2 linked regions of the Diceros bicornis minor genome follow. The protein of the gene in region 1 purifies or fractionates together with the protein of each later gene. This does not show direct contact. Links are inferred from orthologs where the notes say so. Each region holds a gene or a part of one and is shown on either strand. Other genes may lie near its edges. The genes, in order: SUPT7L and TADA2B.

Region 1 (10,674 bases):
AAATGAAGTCTCAGATAAAGTTCTGCAGCAGGACTAGAGAGCAGTAAGCCCTAAAAGAAGGAGAATAGTGCTCCTCAGAGAAATGTCTCCAAAAAAACCAGAACTGATAAATCAGTTAATGTGAAATGACCATATGGAAAAACACACTGAAAAGCTACTGAAAGGTGTGGGAAGAATGAGCAAGAGGTACTCCCCACCCCCCCAAAAAAAATCAAACACATGAAAAACAAACACAGGTCTTCACTTTAGGAAAAACAAGGAGATAAAACTGCTCAGTTGTGACTAATATTTTGCATAAACATAATCATGTAAATACTAGATACTAATTTAACAAAGTCAACAGATAATGTTTAAAATAAATAGCTCAAAATATAACAGCATACTCTTGGATATTTTTAAATGCCAGAAGAAATAACCGAAAGAGTTAAAAGCCTTCTAGGGATGAAGACTGGGGAGGGGCAACATGAGAAACAAGTATAGTTTGTTTTAAGCCTTTGGTAGTTTTAACTATATATAAATTACTTTGCAATAATAAAAATTAATTTTAGAGTAAATAAAAATATAATATAAGCCTTACTAATAAATGATGGTATAAACAGAGGTTTTTTGTTTTTTTTTTTTTTGTGAAGAAGATCAGCCCTGTGCTAACATCTGCCAATCCTCCTCTTTTTGCTGAGGAAGACTGGCCCTGGGCTAACATCCGTGCCCATCTTCCTCCACTTTATATGGGACGCCACCACAGCATGGCCTGACAAGTGCTGCCTTGGTGCACGCCTGGGATCCAAACCCGGGCCGCCAGCAGTGGAATGCATGCACTTAACCACTATGGCACGGGGCCGACTCCGAGAGCTTGTTTTTTTTTTTTAAATAATTTTTATTTATTTATTTTTTCCCCCAAAGCCCCAGTAGATAGTTGTATGTCATAGTTGCACATCCTTCTAGTTGCTGTATGTGGGACGCAGCCTCAGCATGGCCGGAGAAGCGGTGCGTCGGTGCGGGCCCGGGATCCGAACCCGGGCCGCCAGCAGCGGAGCTCGCACACTTAACCGCTAAGCCACGGGGCCGGCCCCCGAGAGTTTTTTTTTGGTTTTTTTTTTTTTTGTGAGGGAGATCAGCCCTGAGCTAACATCCGTGCTAATCTTCCTCTTTTTGCTGAGGAAGACCGGCTCTGAGCTAACATCCATTGCCAATCCTCCTCCTTTCTTTTTCTGCCCCAAAGCCCCAGTAGATAGTTGTTATGTCATAGTTGCACATCCTTCTAGTTGCTGTATGTGGGACGCGGCCTCAGCATGGCTGGAGAAGCAGTGCGTCGGTGCGCACCTGGGATCCGAACCAGGGCCGCCAGTAGCGGAGCGCACACACTTAACCACCAAGCCACCGGGCCGGCCCGAGAGTTTTTTTTTAAATGAGGTAAATTTAATGCAATGATATGGATAATATCCATGATACATTCTTATGCTAAATAAGTCACAAAAGACTATAAGCAATATAATTGCATTTGTGTATGAGTATTTGTTTTTTGTTAAAGGATCTCGTTCTGAACACACATCTATATGCACAGAAACTGTCTGGGAGAATATAAATAAACAATGGCTACCTTCAGAGAGTGAGATAGGGAATTTTTTCTTGTCACTTCATAGAATTTTATACAATTTACATTTCCCTCTAAAAAAAGGTTTTGTTACCTTTTGTATTAAATTTTCCTTTTTTTTTTTTTTAAAGAAAAAACATGTTCCCACATGCTCACCTGCCTCCTGCCTCAGCAATCCCAAAGTATCGAGGATTCGACAAGCTTCCAGTGAGCATTGGATCATAGCTTCTTTTTTCTTTCCTGAGTGAATGGCCTCAGCCACCAGTTGTTTTCCAGTTGAATCATCCACAGGTAATCTGCATCAGTTTGAAGGGAATTATAGCACAGCACTAAGCTCCAATTTTCATGAAAAAAACTAATACGCTGTGATAATAGTCATGTTTTTTGAGATGGCTTTTTAATCTCTCAGTTCATTTTGTTTTATCTTGCCAAGGTTGGATGTCAAATCTTTTCCTTCTCTCTTACTCATCCCACCCCACCCCCCATTAATATGTGTTACTAAACTATCAAGGCCCAAATTCAGGAATAGCCTAAAATTAAGACTAAAGTTACTCTCTGGGTTATTGTCTATAATCGTAAATTACAGCTGTAATGGACATTTATGAGAAAAGAACATACCTTACTCTACAGAGCCAAGTGCTATGTCCCTGTTCATCAAATTCATATTCTAATTCTTCTCCTGTGGGAGGAAGAAAGACAAAACAATTTTAACAGCATGTGACAATTACTAGTTGATACAAGGAGAAAACAGAGCAAAGGTTAAATAAGAATATCAAGTTCCCATATCACATTGACTACTTCTCATTCCTAGGGATTATCATCCAATAATAAAATTAGGATGAGCTTGAGGCAAAGAAGAGCAAACTCAGATCAAAACAATCAACTCTTCATTCATAGCTTTGACCACTGTACAGTAGCTTTCACACTTTTTATAAGTTGTAGACTTAAGCTGTTAATTCATCACAGTTGCCTGGTTTTTAGAAGTACATGTGTTAAGTGCAGAACACAACCAGTTCATATATATATTCATACACACACACACACACACACACACACACATATTCTCTCAAAGCATCTCTACTGAAACAATTGTCTGTGGAAACAATCTTTAATCATATAAAATGAAAATTCAAGGTAAGAATTACAAAAGATCAGGTGAATTAGAAACAAAAAATTACAAGAAGTTGGGCCAATCTCCCCACCACCCAAGTCTAGGATTTTTCGAGAAGAATGAGACAAGCCAGGAAAAAGTACTTCCTTTTTTCCAAAATGAGAAGAAAGACTAACAAGATTTTTACTATTTTCAAAATAAACCTGATGCAACTGACCACAAGGATAAGAACTAAACAAGGAGGAGAGCAGATAAAATATAGCATTTCTAAGTACCTGAAGATCTAGAAAACAACACTGCTGTGGATACATTTTGCTGGCAGCGTCAGAATCTATTTACATACCTTCTCGGTCAAAAAACCCTTGGAGAGCCTTTTTTGGATCCTTTATATAAAAGGCCTCCCTTTCCTGCTGAAACTCTAAGACAATGGGGTTCTCTTCAGCCTCATCCTCTACAGCATCCTCTCCTACAGGAGATGGGAAAGAAAGAAAAGACAATCAGACATAAGAGACTATTTCAATGACATCCATTATTCTTTCAGACTGCATAAAGATACAGTTATCAGTCATGAAAAGAAAGGGATGGACCTGCAAAGGATAACCACAAAACCACCAGTAAGAGTATCTTCAGGTTTTCTAAATTGTATGACAATTAAAACTTGTTTTCATGGCACCTTATTTTTTTTTTTTCCATCACTACATTTTAAAAGCAAAATTACCTACCACATTGTGTACAGAAAAAATCTAAGCTCCTCAGCCTGGCATCCTTGTTCTCTTACACCCGGGTCTAATACTTGGTCTCCAATAGAATTTCCTAATGCATATCGTAACTACCAAATAGACTGGTATACTCATTATTCCCTTAAAATCATCAATCCCTGCCCTGAATACCACTCCCAATGCTCAACTTCCCAAGGGATACTCTTCTTATCCTTCAAGTCCCAGCACAAAACCCTTCTGTTTATAAACTTATAAACTTTCCTAAAGATCTAAGTCAGTGCTGCCCAACAAAAATATAATGAAAGCCATATGTGTAATCTTATATTTTGTAGTAGCCACATTAAAAAAGTAAGAGAAACAGGTGAAATTACCAAGTAATCAATATAAAAATATTATGAACATTTCACATTCTTTTTTCACACTAAGTCTTTGAAATCCAGTGTGTATTTTACATTTACAGCACATGTCAGTTTGGACTAGCCATACTGTAAGTGCCCAATAAGCACATGTGGCTAGTGACTACCATATTGGACAGCGAGGTCTAAGTCCTCAGTGATGGCTCCCTTCTCTGAACTTTTACTCCAGCATATTTATGGTTTCTAGCTTTTGTCTGGCACTTACCACAAGTAATTTCATTTATCCTGTCTTCCCAACAACATATTAAGGCTATCTTCTATCTTTTTATATTCCTACCTCCTAAACACCCATCTTCCAAAATGTCTGGTGTTGTGGAAAATTCAATTTATTCGTTTGGCTAAGGGACCAGCTTTCCCTGATTAGATATTTCACATTTCAGGGTATTTACACAAAGTACAAAAGATTCGAGGTAATATCCTATATTGAAAACATTCCATTTTATTTGATTGAATGTAGTTCCATCCCCTCCAGTGATAATCAAGGTCAGTACTTATATATTTTTTTAAATGGTAAAAAAAATAAATTGTATGCTGAAGAACAGTTTTGAACAAGACTGTACTGTAAAACACATTAGAAGAAATCCATAGTGCTCATAGTTCAATTTCTTGACATCAGAAAAGTAAGGAATCTCTCTGAGTTTTGATAACTTCATGTGCAAACAGTATTTGTCCTACCTATCTCATAGAGTCATGAACAGCCGTATGATTAAAAAAAAAAAAAAGATACTGCTAGCAATGAATTTAAAATATTAACCTCTGGCAGCAATTGTAATTTCTTACCCATTCCCCAGGTGCAGCCCACTTCATCATCTTGACCACTAGTATTTTTCTTCCTTTCAGTGGTATCCATTTCCTCCTCTTCATCTGAGTCTTCTCCTAGCATCTTCTTCTCCAACATCATTTGCTGCTGCTTGCGCAGTTCCTTCAATTGGGTGACTGTCAACTCGGATTCTGCCTCTCGGTCTTCCTCTGGTCCCTGATGAAACAAGCGAAAGAATTCTTTTAGAGTTCAGGATTGTTGAAGTCACTTTCAGAAATATGGCAATGTATACAGAGATCTGGACATGAAAGGCCAGATTCCACTTTTGTAATCACTAACTGGGAGAATCTTCTTCCTCATTGAAAGCTTAAAGAGCTCAGGAACCCAGCCCGGTGGGCTCCAGAAATTTCAATTCTAGGTTTTTCTACTTACCTGAAGAAGAAAGAGCCGGGTGCTGCCTCCAAAGCGAAGAACATGCCCGACGTGGATCCGACAATAGGTGCGGGGTGGGACGCGGGTTTTGTTAAGAAAAGTGCCGTGGGTGCTTCCCAGATCGTAGAGGTAGAAGCCGGGCCCGTGGCCGTCGCATTCTCCCTCCGGGCCGGGCGCCCGGTGCTGCAGCACGGCGTGATAGCGAGACACCGAGGGGTGCTCCAGGCATACGTCGCAGCTAGGCAGCCTCCCGAAAAGGCAGCAGCTCGTCCCTTTCAAGCTCCGGGTGCCAAGGATGGTGCCGCCCTTCAGGGTCTCTAGGCTGTAGGGGGCTGTGGCAGGGCCGCCCCACGGCGGCTCTCGGTAAGGCGGGGCCCGGCCCGGGCCACCAGGGGAAGGAGCCGCTGCGAGGGGCCGCGGCTGCTCCTCTGGGGGACTCCGAGCCTCCCCGCTGTCCGGCGGGACATCAGGCTTCTCGGAATCGGGGTCCAGCAGCGCCGTGGGCCTTTCCTTCTTCACCTCGTCAGGGTTTGAAGGATTGCGGTCCGCGGCCTTGTCCCGCACCGCCGGGGGCACCGGCAGAGCTGGCTTCTTGAAGTCTCTACTGAGTTCTTGCGAGGCCAGCGGCTCGCACTGAGTGGGACTATCAGCCATCCTCAATCGGGTGCAGTCTCGAAATCTGTTCCTAGGAAACGTCACCCTTCGGTCTCTACGTTCCTCTCCGCGCCTCCCTCTCCCCAGCTCCCAGAGGCTTCTCTGGCCAGCGATGGTGGAGTTGCTCCTTCACGACCCAGAACGCTGTGAAGAGGTGAGTATCACGGGAAGATCATAACAAGAGAAAAACAGAAAAAGGCGGTCGGGGTGCTGTCAGAATGGGGACATCTTTAGAGGTTGCAACCGGATTGTAATAACTTCCTGTGGCTTAGCTTGATTGAGAAGAAACGCTTCCGGCAGGCTTGGACCGCTAATCAACAAACCAGCCTTCCGGGCCTTTCGCGACCCTCGCCTCAGGCCTCTGGGGCCGTACGGCCGCCCAGCCCGGCTCCTGCGCCGCGGCAGTGAATAGTGGCGCCTCCGTGCCTCGGTCCAGGGTCAGACCTGCCGTCTGCCGGCCGCTCCGAGCATCAGGCGACCCCAGGATCCTGTGATTGGCGCCTGCGCCCGCTGACCGTGACCGAGGAGCCCCCCGAGGGACTTGGGCATTGCTTGGGCTTGGTGCCTCCCCTTCGTGCTCCTTTGGGTGAAGTTAGGGAAGAGGGCGGTTTTTTTTTTCTTTCTGTCATTTTGTTCATTCATTTATTCGTTCATTTTTATATGCTTTCCGAAACCAGTTAATGAGGCAACGTAGTGTAGTTGTTAAGACTGCAGACTCTGGAGACTGACTGTCTTGATTTTCCCTCTCAGCTGTTTCTGACATTAGGCAAGACAGTGGGCCTCACCTTCCACATCTGAAAAATGGGATAATAATTTTGTCTACTTATAGGGTAGTTGGGAGAATTGAATTAAACAGTAAAGGCAAAGGCTGGCACATAGTGGGCACTAATTAAATGCCAGATAATTACTGTGTTGCAGACACTGTACTAAGATTGTGGTCGTGAGGGATAGATGAGAGAATAAAATTGATTGCGATGAATACTAGTTAAGTCTAGGGATAAATGCTGTGACAGAGATATGCAAAGTGCTGTGAGAATATAATGAAGGAGGATGTACTGGGTAGGTGATGGAAGGTGGTGACTTAAGCTATACTTAAGAATGAAGACAAGTCTGCCAGGGATGTGGTGGGTGGCAGGGCATTGCTGACAGAGATCACAGCTTAAAGAGTCAACTGTGGAAATGCATGGCATTCTTAAAATGAGTAGTATGATACCGTTAGAACTAGGGTGGTCATTGTCTCCAGGAATCTCTTCCTTTGTGCTTCCACTGCACCAGGTCTGCACCTCTAGAACAGCACTAAGCCCACACTTTCATATTGAAGCGTTCTGTTTATGTTTTTCTCCCTCACCCCAGGTCGGAGATCTTGGCCTTAGTCTTTGTCTCCTCACATAATACCTGGCATTTGATAAATGTTTGTTGAATTTGAAGAGACATATGGGCAATGAATCTGGAAAGGTGAGTTGAAGCCAGTTTGTAAATTTTGTTGAATGGAGAGCCAAAGAATTTTGACTGACTTTTTCCTGTAGACAATGGGAAGCCATTAGATCTGAGTTAAAAATATTAAGTCTAGCAGCACTATGGAGGATAGATTAGATATAAGGCGAGACTAAAATAAGGAATACCAGTTAAGAGGCAGCAGAAATCTCCCAGATTCTTCCCTATATATGTCAGAAGTTGCACGCATAGGACCATTTAGACTGGTGGTTAATAGCTTTTTTCACCAGATCAGTTAAAAGGTTCCCATGCCTGATACACATAGTATAAGAACCACCTCTGTCTATCTTTAACTCTACTCCCCTTTCTCCCACTGATCTGGGACAGATATGTCAAAATACTCTTGAGAAATATTCCAGGTCTCATTTAAGTATCTTGTCTTGAAAATTGTTCAGGATTGGGCATGATGGTAGTTCTAGTAATGAGTTAGGGGGGTGAGATGGAAAACATGGACACTACAGCCCCAGATACTATTGCAGCTGTTAGTCTACTAGTGACCCAAATTCCACCTTGTGGTTCAGTCTAATATGAATTGTCATTGTGTGTGATTGTGATGACTAGCTTCTAGCAGTTATATTTCTCTTAATTTCTTCAGGGAGAACATCTTCGGTCCTACAGTGTTGGTGACACTGACATTTTTCTGAGTGGTCCTGAACAACCTACTTTTTATGTAAATAACGGGCTAGACTTCATATTTTTCACTACAGAAGTTTATAACCTACAGTTGCCAGAGATTTAAAGACACTAGTTTAGGATATCATCTACATTTAACTTGGAAGCTCTTCCTTTCTTATTCCAAAATGTTGAGATACTGGGGAGAGATACCAATCTCATCAAGCCAGGCCAACAGAAGTTCCTTTGATTTGCTCCCACGGGAGTTCCGTCTGGTGGAAGTCCATGACCCTCCTCTGCACCAACCCTCAGCCAACAAGCCCAAGCCCCCCACTATGTTGGACATCCCCTCAGAGCCATGCAGCCTCACCATCCATACCATTCAGCTTATCCAGCACAACCGACGTCTGCGCAACCTCATTGCCACAGCTCAGGCCCAGAATCAGCAACAGACAGAAGGTGTAAAGACTGAAGAGAGTGAACCTCTTCCCTCCTGCCCTGGGTCACCTCCTCTTCCTGATGACCTCCTTCCTTTAGACTGTAAGAATCCCAATGCACCATTCCAGATCCGGCACAGTGACCCAGAGAGTGACTTTTATCGGTAAGGCAAGGCTTTGCTGTGTCTTACTTTTTTCAAATAATCTTCCCAGCAACCCTGTTAAGCATGTAATAACATTTCCATGAAGAAACTGAGGATAAGGGTAATTGACTTGGCCACAGTTGCTCAGGTAATTAGTGGGAAGTCTAAGACTTGAACCCTGATCTTCCAAATCCAAAGTCTATATTTTTTTATTTTCTGATGCAACAGATATTTATTGAGTGCCTGCTATGTGCCAAGCACTTTGCTAGGAGCAAGGTACTACACTGGTATGTAAAATAGGCCATGGCCTCATAGTCCTCAGGGTCTAGTCTTTCTGTTTAATTTAAAATGTATATTATGGGTTTGGCTCAGAGTCCTCAAACTGAGATTCATGGACTCATTCTCGTACTATTAGGAATCCACAAGTTCTATATAAGAATTTTTTAATTGTATGTTTGCATTTTGATAACATAGTTTAAGAAATAATAATATAAAAATGTTCTTGATCCATGCTACTCAAAATCAACATCACCTAGGAGCTTGTTAGAAATTCAGAGTCTCAGGCCCCACCCACACCTGCTAAATCAGAATCTTCATTTTAACAAGATCTCCAGGAGATTCATATGGGTATTTGAGTTTGAGAAGCCCTGCTCCAGATCCTCTGAATGACTACCTTATAACCTAGTGCTACTACTAGATTTCAATGTGTAAGTTTGCATTTGGTGCCAAATTACTTTTTTTCTTTTCGTTTTGAAATTTGTCAGACCTATAGAAAAGTTAAAATAATAGTACAATGAACACCCAAATACCCTTCACCTGGATTCACCAATTGTTAACATTTTGCCACATTTACTTTCTCTCACATATGTGTGTGTATACACACATATACACACAAATATAGAAACATATATATACATACACGTATACCAAATATTTTAAAGTGGCAGACATTACAATATTTTACGCCTAAATTCTTTCCCTTGTACTAAGAATAATTTTATTATTTTCCTACAGAATCCCAATACCATTGTCACACCAAAATAAGTGAACACTAATTAAATAATATCATTTAGTAAGTCTATATTCAGATTTCTCCACTTGTCCCCAAAATATCTTTTTAGATATATTTTTCCCCAATCCAGGACCTAACAAAGATTCATGCATTGCACTTGGTTGTTAGGCCTCTTTAGTGTCTTTTAAGCCAGAATAGCTTCCTCTTTTTTAAAAAACATGATAGTAATCTTTTTTAAGAGTTTGGGGGGCTGGCCCAGTGGCACAAGTGGTTACGTGCACACGCTCCGCTGCTGCGGCCCGGGGTTCACTGGTTCGGATCCTGGGCGCGTACCGACGCACCGCTTGGCAAGCCATGCTGTGGCGGCATCCCATATAAAGTGGAGGAAGATGGGCACGAATGTTAGCCCAGGGCCAGTCTTCCTCAGCAAAAAAAGAGGAAGATTGGCAGATGTTAGCACAGGGCTGATCTTCCTCACAAAAAAAAAAAAAAAACAGTTCGGGTCATTTGTCTTGTAGTAGAATGTCCCACTTACTGAATTTGCTGATTATTTCCTCAAGATTAGATTCAGGTTAAATATGTTTGGCAAAAATACCACATAAGTAGTATTATAGATCACTTATTGCATCTGCCTATTGATGATAATAATTACTACTGTTTTACTTGTCCCAAACTAATGAGAAAAGAACAGAAATAGACTTACATGTAAAGGTTCCAGTTGGCCTAGATGAAGGCCAGATGGTGTCCTGGTGCGTTGCATAATCAAAGATTCTGAAGTTGTTGGAGTAGTGAAAAGGGGAGGGATAACTATCTTATTACATGCCTGGCACATGTTAGTACAGATAGGCCCAATTTGCTCTGTAGCAATCAGTACCATATTTACATTTTGAGGGTAATTTAGTTTAGTTTTTTGTTTTTTAAATAAAACTTTTTTTTTTTGAGGAAGATTGGCGCTGTGATAACATCTGTTGCCAATCTTTCTGTTTTTTTTTTTCTCCCCAAAGCCCTAGTACATAGTTGTATATCACAGTTGTAGGGTTGTCAGGGGCAATTTAGTTTTAACAAAATAACATCGTCCTTCATATTAAATTGAGGCTGTTATTTAGAATTTTGTAGTTTTGTGTCAAAATTCTAATTTTAATTGTTAGAGCTATGAACATCAAAAGTTTATACTAGTTTGTTTTATACATATTTAAAAAACTGTATAACAGAAATAATTTGCATCAGCTATGGGGGTGCCAAAAGAATTATTTTCCTTTGAAATAGGTCTATAAATTACTCAAGTAAAGCGAT
Region 2 (10,554 bases), on another chromosome or scaffold:
TAAAAAGGGTCCCTAGCACCTATCCACTGGCTCATGAGGATTAAAATAATCTAAGATGCTGAACTCATTGTGTCATTAAAAGAAACATTGCCATAGGTAGCTAGAACCATGCTCTAGACTTGCAAACTTTCAGTATCTTGCACTCTTGGTGAACTTATGAATTTAAAAAATTGGGAATTTTTTCTCTAAATACATATTCATTCTATAAAATTTAGAAATACGGAAAAGCACAAAGAAAATAAAAATCATAATTTCACCACCCAGAGAAGAGAAAACTTTTTTCATATTTGGACCTTTTTTCCTATAAATAAAGGCATCCCCATTTTATAAGTGAGTACACTGAGGCTTAGAAAGTTGAAGTGTTTATCCCAGGTCACAATCAGAAGAGAACTGAATCCAGGTCGGCCTGATTCCAAAGTCTTTGTTCTCAAGCACTACACTGTGTCTTCTCCTTCTAGATACCTCTTTGTATTCATCCTTGTCATCCTTGGGGTGAAATATTAGAAAACTTCATCAATTAAAAAGTTAAGGAGAGGGCCAGGCCCGTGGCTTGGGGGTTGGGTGCACGCGCTTCGCTGCTGGCAGCCCAGGTTCGGATCCCGGGCGCGCACCGATGCACCACTTCTCCAGCCATGCTGAGGCCGAGTCCCACGTGCAGTGGCTGGAAGGATGTGCAACTACAACATGCAGCTATCTACTGGGGCTTTGAGGGGGAAAAAAAAAAACTTGAGGAAGGTGTTAACTTATTCACTAAAATATGCACATATTTAATCATTGGTTATTTTTTTGTGTGTGTGAGGAGATCAGCCCTGAGCTAACATCTGCCAATCCTCCTCTTTTTTTTGCTGAGGAAGACGGCCCTGGGCTAACATCGGTGCCCATCTTCCTCCACTTTATATGGGACGCCGCCACAGCATGGCTTACCAAGCAGCGCGTCGGTGCGCGCCCGGGATCCGAACCAGCGAACCCCGGGCCGCCGCAGCGGAGCGCGCGCACTTAACCGCTTGCGCCACCGGGCCGGCCCCTAATCATTGGTTATTTAAATAAAAACTAGACCCTTTGAAAGGAATATTACATGCGAAGTAGGAGACGGGAACTTGAGCAGTGTTGTTCCTGCCAGTCCTGGCTCCTGCTAGCTTCTGTGACGCTTCACCCCTACATGACGGAAGAAGTCTCCTGTAGTCCTGTCCATTCATAGCATTTGCATGATTTATCACTCTGACATTAAGACTATTGGAAAGTTGAAAACGTAAAAAGCACCAAATTGGGGTGCATTAATTCTGATGTTATTTTATGGACAGGCACCCCCCACCAGTGGCAAAAATCTAAATTATGGATGCAGGTGAAATTATAAAAAAAGAAAGCATATATATATTTCCACTTATATAATTTAAAAATCTCAAAAGTGGTAAGTCACCAAGTGATTTTCGTTTACCAATGAGAAAGTGTTTCTTTTTCAGATGCCTCGGGCTCTATCCAGGTAGTGCCCAATTCACTTCTGCCAATGGTCCCAAAAACAAACAGAAAACCTGCAACCTCCAAGGGGACACCAACTCAGACTAATTTTTAAAAAGTCTAGTTTCATATAATATCTCACTCAGATTTTATTGTGCCTGCATTTTCAGGCCCTGTACTCTTTGACAAGGAGATGAAAAAATGTTTAAGCTTTGATTTTAGCATTCATAAAATAATCTGTTTTAGAGGTTTCTAGTCCAGCCTCCAGCATCACTGGAGAAATCCCCCTCAAGGGAGTCCACGCTGGGATGGAGAGCTCTGATCTGTAGTACTGTCCTTCCATGACTACAAGCCTGCCTCCCCGTCATTTCCCTCAGTGGTCCTACTTGAGAGAGCTTCTTTCTACCTGAAATTATTTTTTAATCTGACATAGGACTTATCAATGCCTGATATATAATAGGCATTCAAGTAATACTTAATGTTCAGAAAATGAGACTGGGATTATGTTAATTCAACAAATTGAGCACTGATTATGTGCTAGGTAGGCACTGTGCTGGCTGAGAGGGAGGATGATAAGCCAACAGTCCTTGCCTTCCAGGGCCTCTGTCTCACTGGGGCACAGAGAGCTAGACAGACAATCACAAAGCAGTGGGTCAGAGGCGGGCATGGGGTGAAATGCAGGCTGCTGTGGGGCACAAAGGGCACATCAGCAAGACTATGGGTGAGGGTGCTTTCGGGTTTGTGGTGTTCTTCCTCAGAAGCAATCTATCTTAGAAACAATTTGTCAATGTGTTGCTATTTCATGATTAAGAGCTCTCCTGTAATCTAATTAGAAGAACCCTGTTATGAAGTAATCAACAGAAGATTATCTTCTAATTAATTGTAACATCTGCAGCACAAGGTAATATAATTTGAGAGAACATCGGTGACTTTGCAGCTTAAAGCAATGCCAACCTCATCAGTCTCTGTGTCTTTGTGCTTTCAGAGATCTGCTTGTCAGCCAGTTCAAGGCCGACGAGGGATGTTTGGTTCTATGTGGGTAACTGCCTGCCAATGGGTCAAAATCAGCTGAAAATACCTATTCTCCCTCTAGTGAATCAAAGGGATGGACACTCTTAGAATGAAGGCTGCTTGCTTGGTGAGGGCACCGAGCATATTGCCAGTTTCACTTTGAAGCCTTGCCACCACAGAAGAACCCAGGGGGCCTGTGCTGCTTTTAATTTGAAGCACAAAGAAAACAAAGTTGTATTTGCCAGTGATTTACTACTTCACTTTGGTCTGATAAACGGGGTAGAGGGAAGGAGAGTTATAGAGGATAAGGAGAATAGAAGCAGGAAGTCAATTTTTCACTCCCCTCGTTGTGTTTGTGTGGTTTGATAAGTACAATATAAGTGTATTCAAGCTGTGGAACTTAGAAAAGGAATTTTAATCAACCTTTATTGGCTTCAAAGGGAACACACTTTAGAAAAGAAAATCATGTCATCAAAAGATAGTTGTTTTGACATTCTTATGACCGAGTTATCTGCCTAGATGGGGTTTCCACCATTCTTTAAATGTACTTAGCACCCAAAAATAGATCACTCTTCTTATGATCCACTTAAGTTTAGAGATGGGAGAATACTTTTAATCCTAAATCTGCACTTCTCAAAATTCAACCTAAGATTAATAAATCCAAGCTCCTAGCTCCAAAAGCATCAAAGAAAACTGAAAAAGTTAATCACTGGTTAAGGGGATAGACCTATCAGGTATGTCTTACATTAACACAAGGAATAACAGACATTTTGATAGAGTAAAATGATGTGCATAGCCAGGGTCCTGTTGCCAAGATCCAAAAATATCTTCCTAAAAACAAAAGGCTTATGGACAGTCAGCAGTCACCACTCCATATATTTTGCACCTGGCAAAACACACAATACAATCATCATTTTGTCTTCACTGGAAAACAAAATTTCATTTTTTGTACCAATGAATGCATTTCTTTAGCAGATCCAGGAAAACGTCTCATTAGAATTGAAGACTGTCATTGAGCCAGAAACAAACATGTAATGGTTACACAGACCAAGCCTCCTTTCACTGAAAAAGGAAAGATGAAGGAACATCAGCTCCTTTTCCTACTTATCATTTCTCCTGTTTCCTGGATATTTTTTATTATCCCAGAAGCTAGTGCTACTTCCATACAAAACAATTTCAGATTAATCTAAAAGGGAATTAGTGAGCTTTGAATTGAGATAGTGACTCAGGACTACACAGTTTAATACATTCAAAGGGGATTTAATAATTAGCTTAATGCACAGGAATTTTTTTGGTACCCCGCCCATTTGTTGAACCCTCCTCCATATGGAAAAGGAACAGTTCTCAGTGTCAGGTCACTGACATTATGGAACTGCTCAGATATAAAAAGGCTTTTGACAGCTTTTTATGAGAAGTCAGGTACATTAAATCATCTCTGTTGTTTGCTTCTCTAGACCTATTTTACTTCAACGTACGTAAAACTGACTGCTAACCCAATTTTGTGCTTAGCACTAATTTGGAAACTGAAAAATTATGAGAAATACAAAATATAGTTCCATCCCAAATATCATAGGCCTTTTGAAGAATGGCAACAAATGGAGAATGAGAGTTAATGAAGCATGAAGTTTGCTGAGATGGAAGATGTTCTGCCAACTCTTCTCCTGAATCGTGTCAGGAGGGGAGAAAGGCTCTGGCTTCCCTGATCTTCTGCTTCACGCCTCTGCAGGACAGAGTAAGCCCGGCGTGATGGTGCTTCAGGGATTCTAAGCGCTGCTGGAGCAGTGCAGTCCTGTCCACCTTCTCTTCCAGGTCCCGGAGGAGTGATTCCTTGCCTAGAAGCCCACACTTCTGATTCAGCTTGATGTTGTCAAGCTGCAGGCTGTCTCGGGCTTGCTTAGTCTTAGTCAGGATGTCCCTCCTTAGGGCCACCTGAGCTTCAATTTCCAACAGTTGTGACTTTTTGCATGCATTTTCTATCTCCACAAAGTGTAACTTTTCCTTCACATGCGTTATTATTTGCACATTGTTGGTCACCTTGTTGCGCAGTTTCAGAAGCTCCTCATTTCGCTCCTCAACTTTCTCATTGAAAGTCTGGTTCTCAATCTTAAGCTGTTCAAAATCGATGAGGAGAAGGCCCTCAGTCAAGTCCTCCTGGGCCCTCATCCTGGTTTCAAAATGCACCAAGCTCTGCTTCAGCTGCACGTTTTCCAGCCTCACAGCGCTCATCTCCTTCTCCTTCCTGTCCTCCAATGCCTGGATCTGCTCCACTTCTCGCAGAGCGGCCTGGCGACCGCCCCTCATGCGACAGCTGCCCATGGCCTGCATCACCACCTGCTTCTTGAGTGCCTGGAAGCCTCGCCACTCCTTCTCCACCCTGGAGAGCTTCTCCTCGCACTGCTGCTTCAGCCGGTCCAGCTCCTGGTGATACCAGTCCAGGTCGTCGGCCTGCTGCTTCCTCAGCTCCTCCAGCACGGCCAGATGGCGTAGGTATGCCTGCTCCTTCTCGGGGGCCTCAGGCTCCATGCCCTTGTCCGGCACGTCGGCCGCATCCAGGCCCTTCTTCTTGCGCAGCGCCTCGGAGATCTTGTGCTGCAGGTAGATGTTGTAGCGCTGGCAGCGGCTCCGCTCCACCATCAGGGAGCGGTACTGTTCCAGGAGCTCAGAGCGCAGCTGCTGCTCCTGCAGCTTCTTGACCTCCTCGCTCCACTCGTAATCCTCATCCTCGAGGGCGTCGTCCAGACCTCTCGGCTCTTCCTCGGTTTTCGCCCGGCTTCCTTCCACACCCTTCTCGCTCTCCTCGCTCTCGTCCTCCTCCGGTTCCTCCCGCTCAGCCTCCCGGGCTGGCGCAGCCTCCTCCTGGCCGGCGGTGGACAGCGGCAGAGAGACCTGCGACGGGGCTTCCTTCCTCTTCCCACCCTCCGCCGCCCTCTCTTCTTCCTCCTCCTCCTCCCCCTCCTCCTCCTGGGGTTCCTCGGGCCCGCCTTTGGACGTCGGCTTGCCTGGCCTGTCAGGCCCGGCCTCGGCCGGCCACTCCGGCTCTCCGGGCCCCTCCTCGCCCGCAGCCTCGGCGGCCGCCAGCCCCTCCCGAAGCTCGGCCGGGTCGGCGGGCTCGGCCGTGGCGGCTCCTCCCTCCGAAGCCCCTACAGTCTCTGGCTCCGGCTCCACAGCGTCCGCGGGTTCGGCCGGCGACTGCGGGCCAGAGCTGGCCTTGATCCCGGACAGCCGCGAAGCCAGGCTCTCCACATCTCCGTCGTCGCCCTCGGAGTCCCCAGCGTGCTCGGAGTGGCCGTCCATCTCCCTCCGGCTGGGCCAGCGCCGCGGACCCGAGCGGCCGGCTGTTAGGTTTCCCGGGGCAACCAGGGGCGCGCGCGGTGGGCCCGGCGATTGGCCAGGCGTCAGCCCGATGCCCTGCCCCTTCTCCCCGCCTCCCGGCAGGAGCAGGCCAATGGGGTGGCGCGAGTGGACGACGGGCGGCGTTGACTGGAAGAGGGCGAAGGCTCGCGCCGCGAGGGGCGTGGCGCGCCCGCCTCGCTCGCGCCTCGCCCGTTTCCCAGCGCCGAGTCCGGGGCGGGGCCTCCAGGCGGCGCTGGCCGCGCGGGCGGCAGGCGCGAAAGGCGCGCAGGCGCAGAGCGGCGGGCCGGGTCCCCGCGCGGTGGCGCGCGCGGGGCGCCTGCGCGATGCGGCGGGGCGACGGCGGCGGCGGCGGCGGCCGGGCCGGGCCCGAGGGCGCCTGCGTGCTGAGGCGGGACGCGGCCGGGCTGGCCGGCTCCGGCGGCGCCTGGGCGGGGCGGCGCGGTGGCGGCGGCCGCGGCGGCGGCGGGCGGCGGTCGCTCGAGCGCGGCGGCGGGCCCGGGCGGCGGCGCGCTGACGGCGGCGGGCGCAGCGGCGGCGGCGGCGGCGGCGGCGGCGGGCCCGGGCGGCGGGCGGGGGAAGATGGCGGAGCTCGGTAAGAAGTACTGCGTGTACTGCCTGGCCGAGGTGAGCCCGCTGCGCTTCCGCTGCACCGAGTGCCAGGACATCGAGCTGTGCCCCGAGTGCTTCTCGGCCGGCGCCGAGATCGGCCACCACCGCCGCTACCACGGCTACCAGCTGGTGGACGGCGGGCGCTTCACGCTGTGGGGGCCCGAGGCCGAGGGCGGCTGGACCAGCCGCGAGGAGCAGCTGCTGCTGGACGCCATCGAGCAGTTCGGCTTCGGAAACTGGGTGAGCGGCCGCGGCGGACCGGGCGGCGCTCTGCGCGGGACGCGCGGGGGCTTCGTCCCCCCCGGGTTAATGCAGACGCGACCTGCACCTGCGCGCTCGGGCACAGCGCGGAGGGCAGGTGGCGCAGGGACGGGTAGCACGCCCGGTGTGTGCACGGGAAACCCCAGCGCAGAGAGGGTGAGCAGCATGCCCAAGGTCACACAGCCAGGAAGTGGCAAAGCGGGGCTTTGGACTGTGGCCTTCTGACAGCAGAGCTATTTTCCTAACCCTAAGGAGTATCTTAAATTGGTGGTTGCTGAGCGAGGGCTTCGGGCAAGACCCACGGCCTTACCTGAGTAGGAGTTGGTGGACATAGGCAAGTCAGCAAGCTTGACCCAGAGCGCTGAGCGAGGAGTTGGTTTTGCCTGGACAACAGCGGTGGTGAAGGCCAGACCAGCCTCACACACGCCCTGCGGCTTCTCCCACCGTCTCTGATGCGCTTACTTTGTACTCGGGCCCGCTAGCTCTGTGGGGTTGTCTGTGCATGTGCCCTGTGTCCCCTCGTTTATCCCTGGGTCCCCACAACACTCAGGACATTGACTGTATGAGGCCTGCTCAGTCAGTACCCAGCAGAGGAGCGTGGAGGAGGAGCCATCTGTCCTGGGTTTCCTCTGTCCATCTGTCAGGTTTCTGTAGATGTTTATCTGAGAAGAAAGGTGAGCACTGGATGGAATTCCTTTACCAAAGCAGGTAGTGTGCTGGGCACCTGGAGAGAGAAACGGGGTGCTCTTGTCTAGGTGGTCTCTGAGAGCGCTCTCTCCACTCTGCGTTAGAAAGGGAAAATCGGGCTGTATCCTGGTCCATGACTGCCGGAGATACGTGGCACCTCCAGGCGTTACGAAAAGTGGGGAGAAGAGACAAGACCCCAGCTCCTTAATCTTTCCAGACCCTTCCACCTGATGGTCCCCTACTTCCCTGGACCAGTATGTCATCTTGCTGCCACTTCTCCAGCAGTACTCCCTCCCTGCTGGGCTTGCTGGTGGAAGACATTCCTCACTTCTCCCCTCGTTCCTGTTCCCAAACCCCTCCTGCCTTTATTTCCTTTTGCTCTCCTTTCCATAAAGTGAGCCAGTCTTCAGGGACCAGTACCCGTTCTGCAGCCCTGGAATCTTTATTCTCCCAGCTCCTTAGAGACACAGCTCTACCAGTGCTCACCTAGCACCAGCATTGTGATCACCACCCTCCAGAACCCTCCATCTCACTTTGTCCTGAAATGCCGTTTGTGGATGTGTATTGAGCGTCTGCTCTGTGCACATTATACGATGCTGAAGGACTCTGAAGGAAAGCGAGGCTTCATCCTTGTCTGTAAGGGGCTTAAAGTGTTGTGATCGCTTGGTCCTGAGCCCGCAGCTCTTCCCTAAGCTGCAGCTGTCAGTGTCAGACCGCTACCTGCCTCCTCACTGCGTGTCTCACGGATACCTCGACCCGGACCTCGCATACCCGGACCTCGCATCACCTCACTCAGCTACTCCGGCTGCACCAAGAGCCATCCTCAGGTCCTTCCAGGCCCAGGTCAGCAGCAGCCCTTTCTTCCACATATTTCCAGAATCTTACCGCTTCTCACAACCTTAGTCCAGGCTGATGTTTATCTCTTGTTTTGACCGTTTTTGGAGCCTCCCAGCTGGTCTTGCTGGCTCGTTCTTATGTCCCATTGCCCATTCCAGACACCGTAATCAGAGTGATCTTGGAAGACGCGTCCCATCAGAGCCGCCTTCAGGGGCTTCCAGGTCTCCTTAGATTAAACTCCACGGCCTGCAGGGCCTTAAGGTGTCTCCAGACCGAGGGGGTCGCAGCTGCTGCCCCCTTGAGCATCTTTCATCTCTTCTGCTCGAGTGCTCTCCCCCCAAATCATGGCTCGTGACTGGGCTCTCTACTTACATATCAGCGCCCCAGAGAGACTTCCCTCCCCCGCTCCATTCTGACAGCGCTTATGTCTACCGTAGCAGCTACAAATAGCCGACGTGGACCGAGAGCCTTGCTGTGTGCCAGGCACTGTGCTGAGCTCCTGCTGCCTTTCTCGTGAAGTCTTCCCAGCAGCCCCTGGCAGCAGGTTTTGAACTAAATAGTTTGACTTCCGAGTCTGTACTCCTAGCTGTACTGTCTACACTGCCTTCCCTGCAGTACCATGGAAAATACACGAAAAGCAAGCCTGGGGACTAAAACATTTATAGTGTGTTGGAGGAAGCATGGGGCTGGAAGGGGACGTTCTCTAAAGCAGTATTTTTCCGACTTTCCTGTGCACACAAATCACCTGGGGAGCTTGTTAAAATGCAGATTCCTACTCAAAGCAGGCAGCACGTCTCAGCTGTTGTGAGAGACAAAGCCGGAGGAGGAGGGGCTTGGGCCTGGGTGCCGTGGGGCCATCTCCTTGCTGAGCCAGTGGTGGGTTCAGGGAGAGGCCTAGATTCTGCATGCTGACCGCGCCTGGGGAGCTGCCAGGCTGCCACCCACGGGCCACACTCTGAGGAGGGGCTTCCAGTATCTCTCTAGCTGTGCTCTCTTGGGCCAGCTGCTCTACCCGCTGAGCTTCACTGTGCTTCGTCGGAGGCTCTTCTGCAGCTCTGAGATGTGTGGTTCCCTTCTGAGCAGATTTCCAGATACGTGCACATGAGCGGCATGTCCTGCGTATGCCGTATTTAGCATGCGCCTGTTTTGGACAAGACTCTTTCCGTACATGTCTCGTGCTCTTCGCAGCAGCCTGTGGGATGGGTTCTTAGTTTACAGTTGAAGAACAGCGACTCTGAGAATTTAAAATACTTGTCCAGGATGCCCCGGCTTTTCACGTCCTAAAACCAGGGTTTAGGTGCAGGCCTGTCTGATTCCGAAGTCAGTGCCTTAACTTCTCCGTGTTAAGAGCATTAACTACTATGGGTCGGAGCCTGGGAGCTTACTGGTGCATCTGAAGGTGTGGCTGGACTGGAAGGGCTTTTCAGAGGAGTGGAGTCCTGACTGGTTCAGCGGGAGGTTAGTGTGTGGGCTGGGGAAGCAGGAAGGTGAGCGGGTACACGCAGGAACCAGGTTTCACGGGCTGGATGTGGAGTTTAGAGAAGGGCAGTGTGCGCATCGGGACAGTGCTGTAGTGGAAGGTGAGACTGTTCATTCTAATTTCTCAGATGGCACGTGTGACCTGTGACTTGGGGTTGTACTGCTTTGTGTGGAGTCCATGGGGATGGGCTGATTTCAGGAGCCCTGGGGGCTGTTGCTGAAGTGTGGGGCCATTTGCTCACATTTTATCCTGGGGCTCAGGCACAGGGACCGACGGGAATGGACATGGCTGAGGGATGCTAACAGTAAGGCCTGGAGGGTTTGGGGACAAGCACTGTGGCCAGGCTCTAACACTGCATGCCCACGTGTTTGATGACGAGTGGCAGAGAGGATGGGTGGGGAGACGCCTGTGAAGACGAGGCCAGGGTAGTGTTGGCAGGCTGACAGTGACCCACAGAGTCACATCACCACGGCTATTGAGAGCCTCGAGGCAGCTGGTTTTGTGGTGGGTGCTGCACAGGTTCAGAGAGGATACAGATCCTGCTGGAGCACAGACACAGTCGTAAACACAAAGGTGAAATATTTTATGATGATTAGAGACTGTGGTAGATGGGCCTTAGGTTCGTTGATTGGTTGCCAGAGGACTTGAACAGTTTGAGGATGGCCAAAGCTCCTTTGCAGATGGTGGTCAGGACGATGCAGGGGGAAGGAAGGTTCAAGTTAGCTTTGAAGGTAGATGTCAAATTAGGAATATACGTACGTTCTCTGTGGGCTGCTCAGGGCCTTGTGCATGTGTACGTATGTTCAGGCCAATTATTGCAGGCAGGTGGATGCCATGAGTAGAGTTTTACTTTTGTAGAT

What was found.
Region 2: the proteins of SUPT7L (region 1) and TADA2B purify together in Homo sapiens (affinity purification with mass spectrometry; 3 studies listed by BioGRID and IntAct, counting the BioPlex papers as one, with this or other methods). This does not show direct contact. The link is inferred for Diceros bicornis minor from reciprocal best matches to the Homo sapiens genes SUPT7L and TADA2B.

The regions. Positions count from the first base shown.
Region 1 is NC_080751.1:55,261,729-55,272,402, forward strand, and holds the start of SUPT7L (STAGA complex 65 subunit gamma), read left to right. Parts: upstream 1-5,778; 5' UTR 5,779-5,837; intron 5,838-5,986; exon of another isoform or gene 5,987-6,269; intron 6,270-6,279; exon of another isoform or gene 6,280-7,036; 5' UTR 7,037-7,138; intron 7,139-7,772; 5' UTR 7,773-7,977; coding exon 7,978-8,390; intron 8,391-10,674. Other genes in the region: SLC4A1AP (kanadaptin), read right to left, coding at 1,748-1,887, 2,210-2,270, 3,046-3,168, 4,618-4,813, 5,030-5,683.
Region 2 is NC_080747.1:4,832,256-4,842,809, reverse strand, and holds the start of TADA2B (transcriptional adapter 2-beta), read left to right. Parts: upstream 1-6,384; 5' UTR 6,385-6,399; coding exon 6,400-6,669; intron 6,670-10,554. Other genes in the region: CCDC96 (coiled-coil domain-containing protein 96), read right to left, coding at 4,138-5,760. UniProt on the Homo sapiens protein: Coactivates PAX5-dependent transcription together with either SMARCA4 or GCN5L2.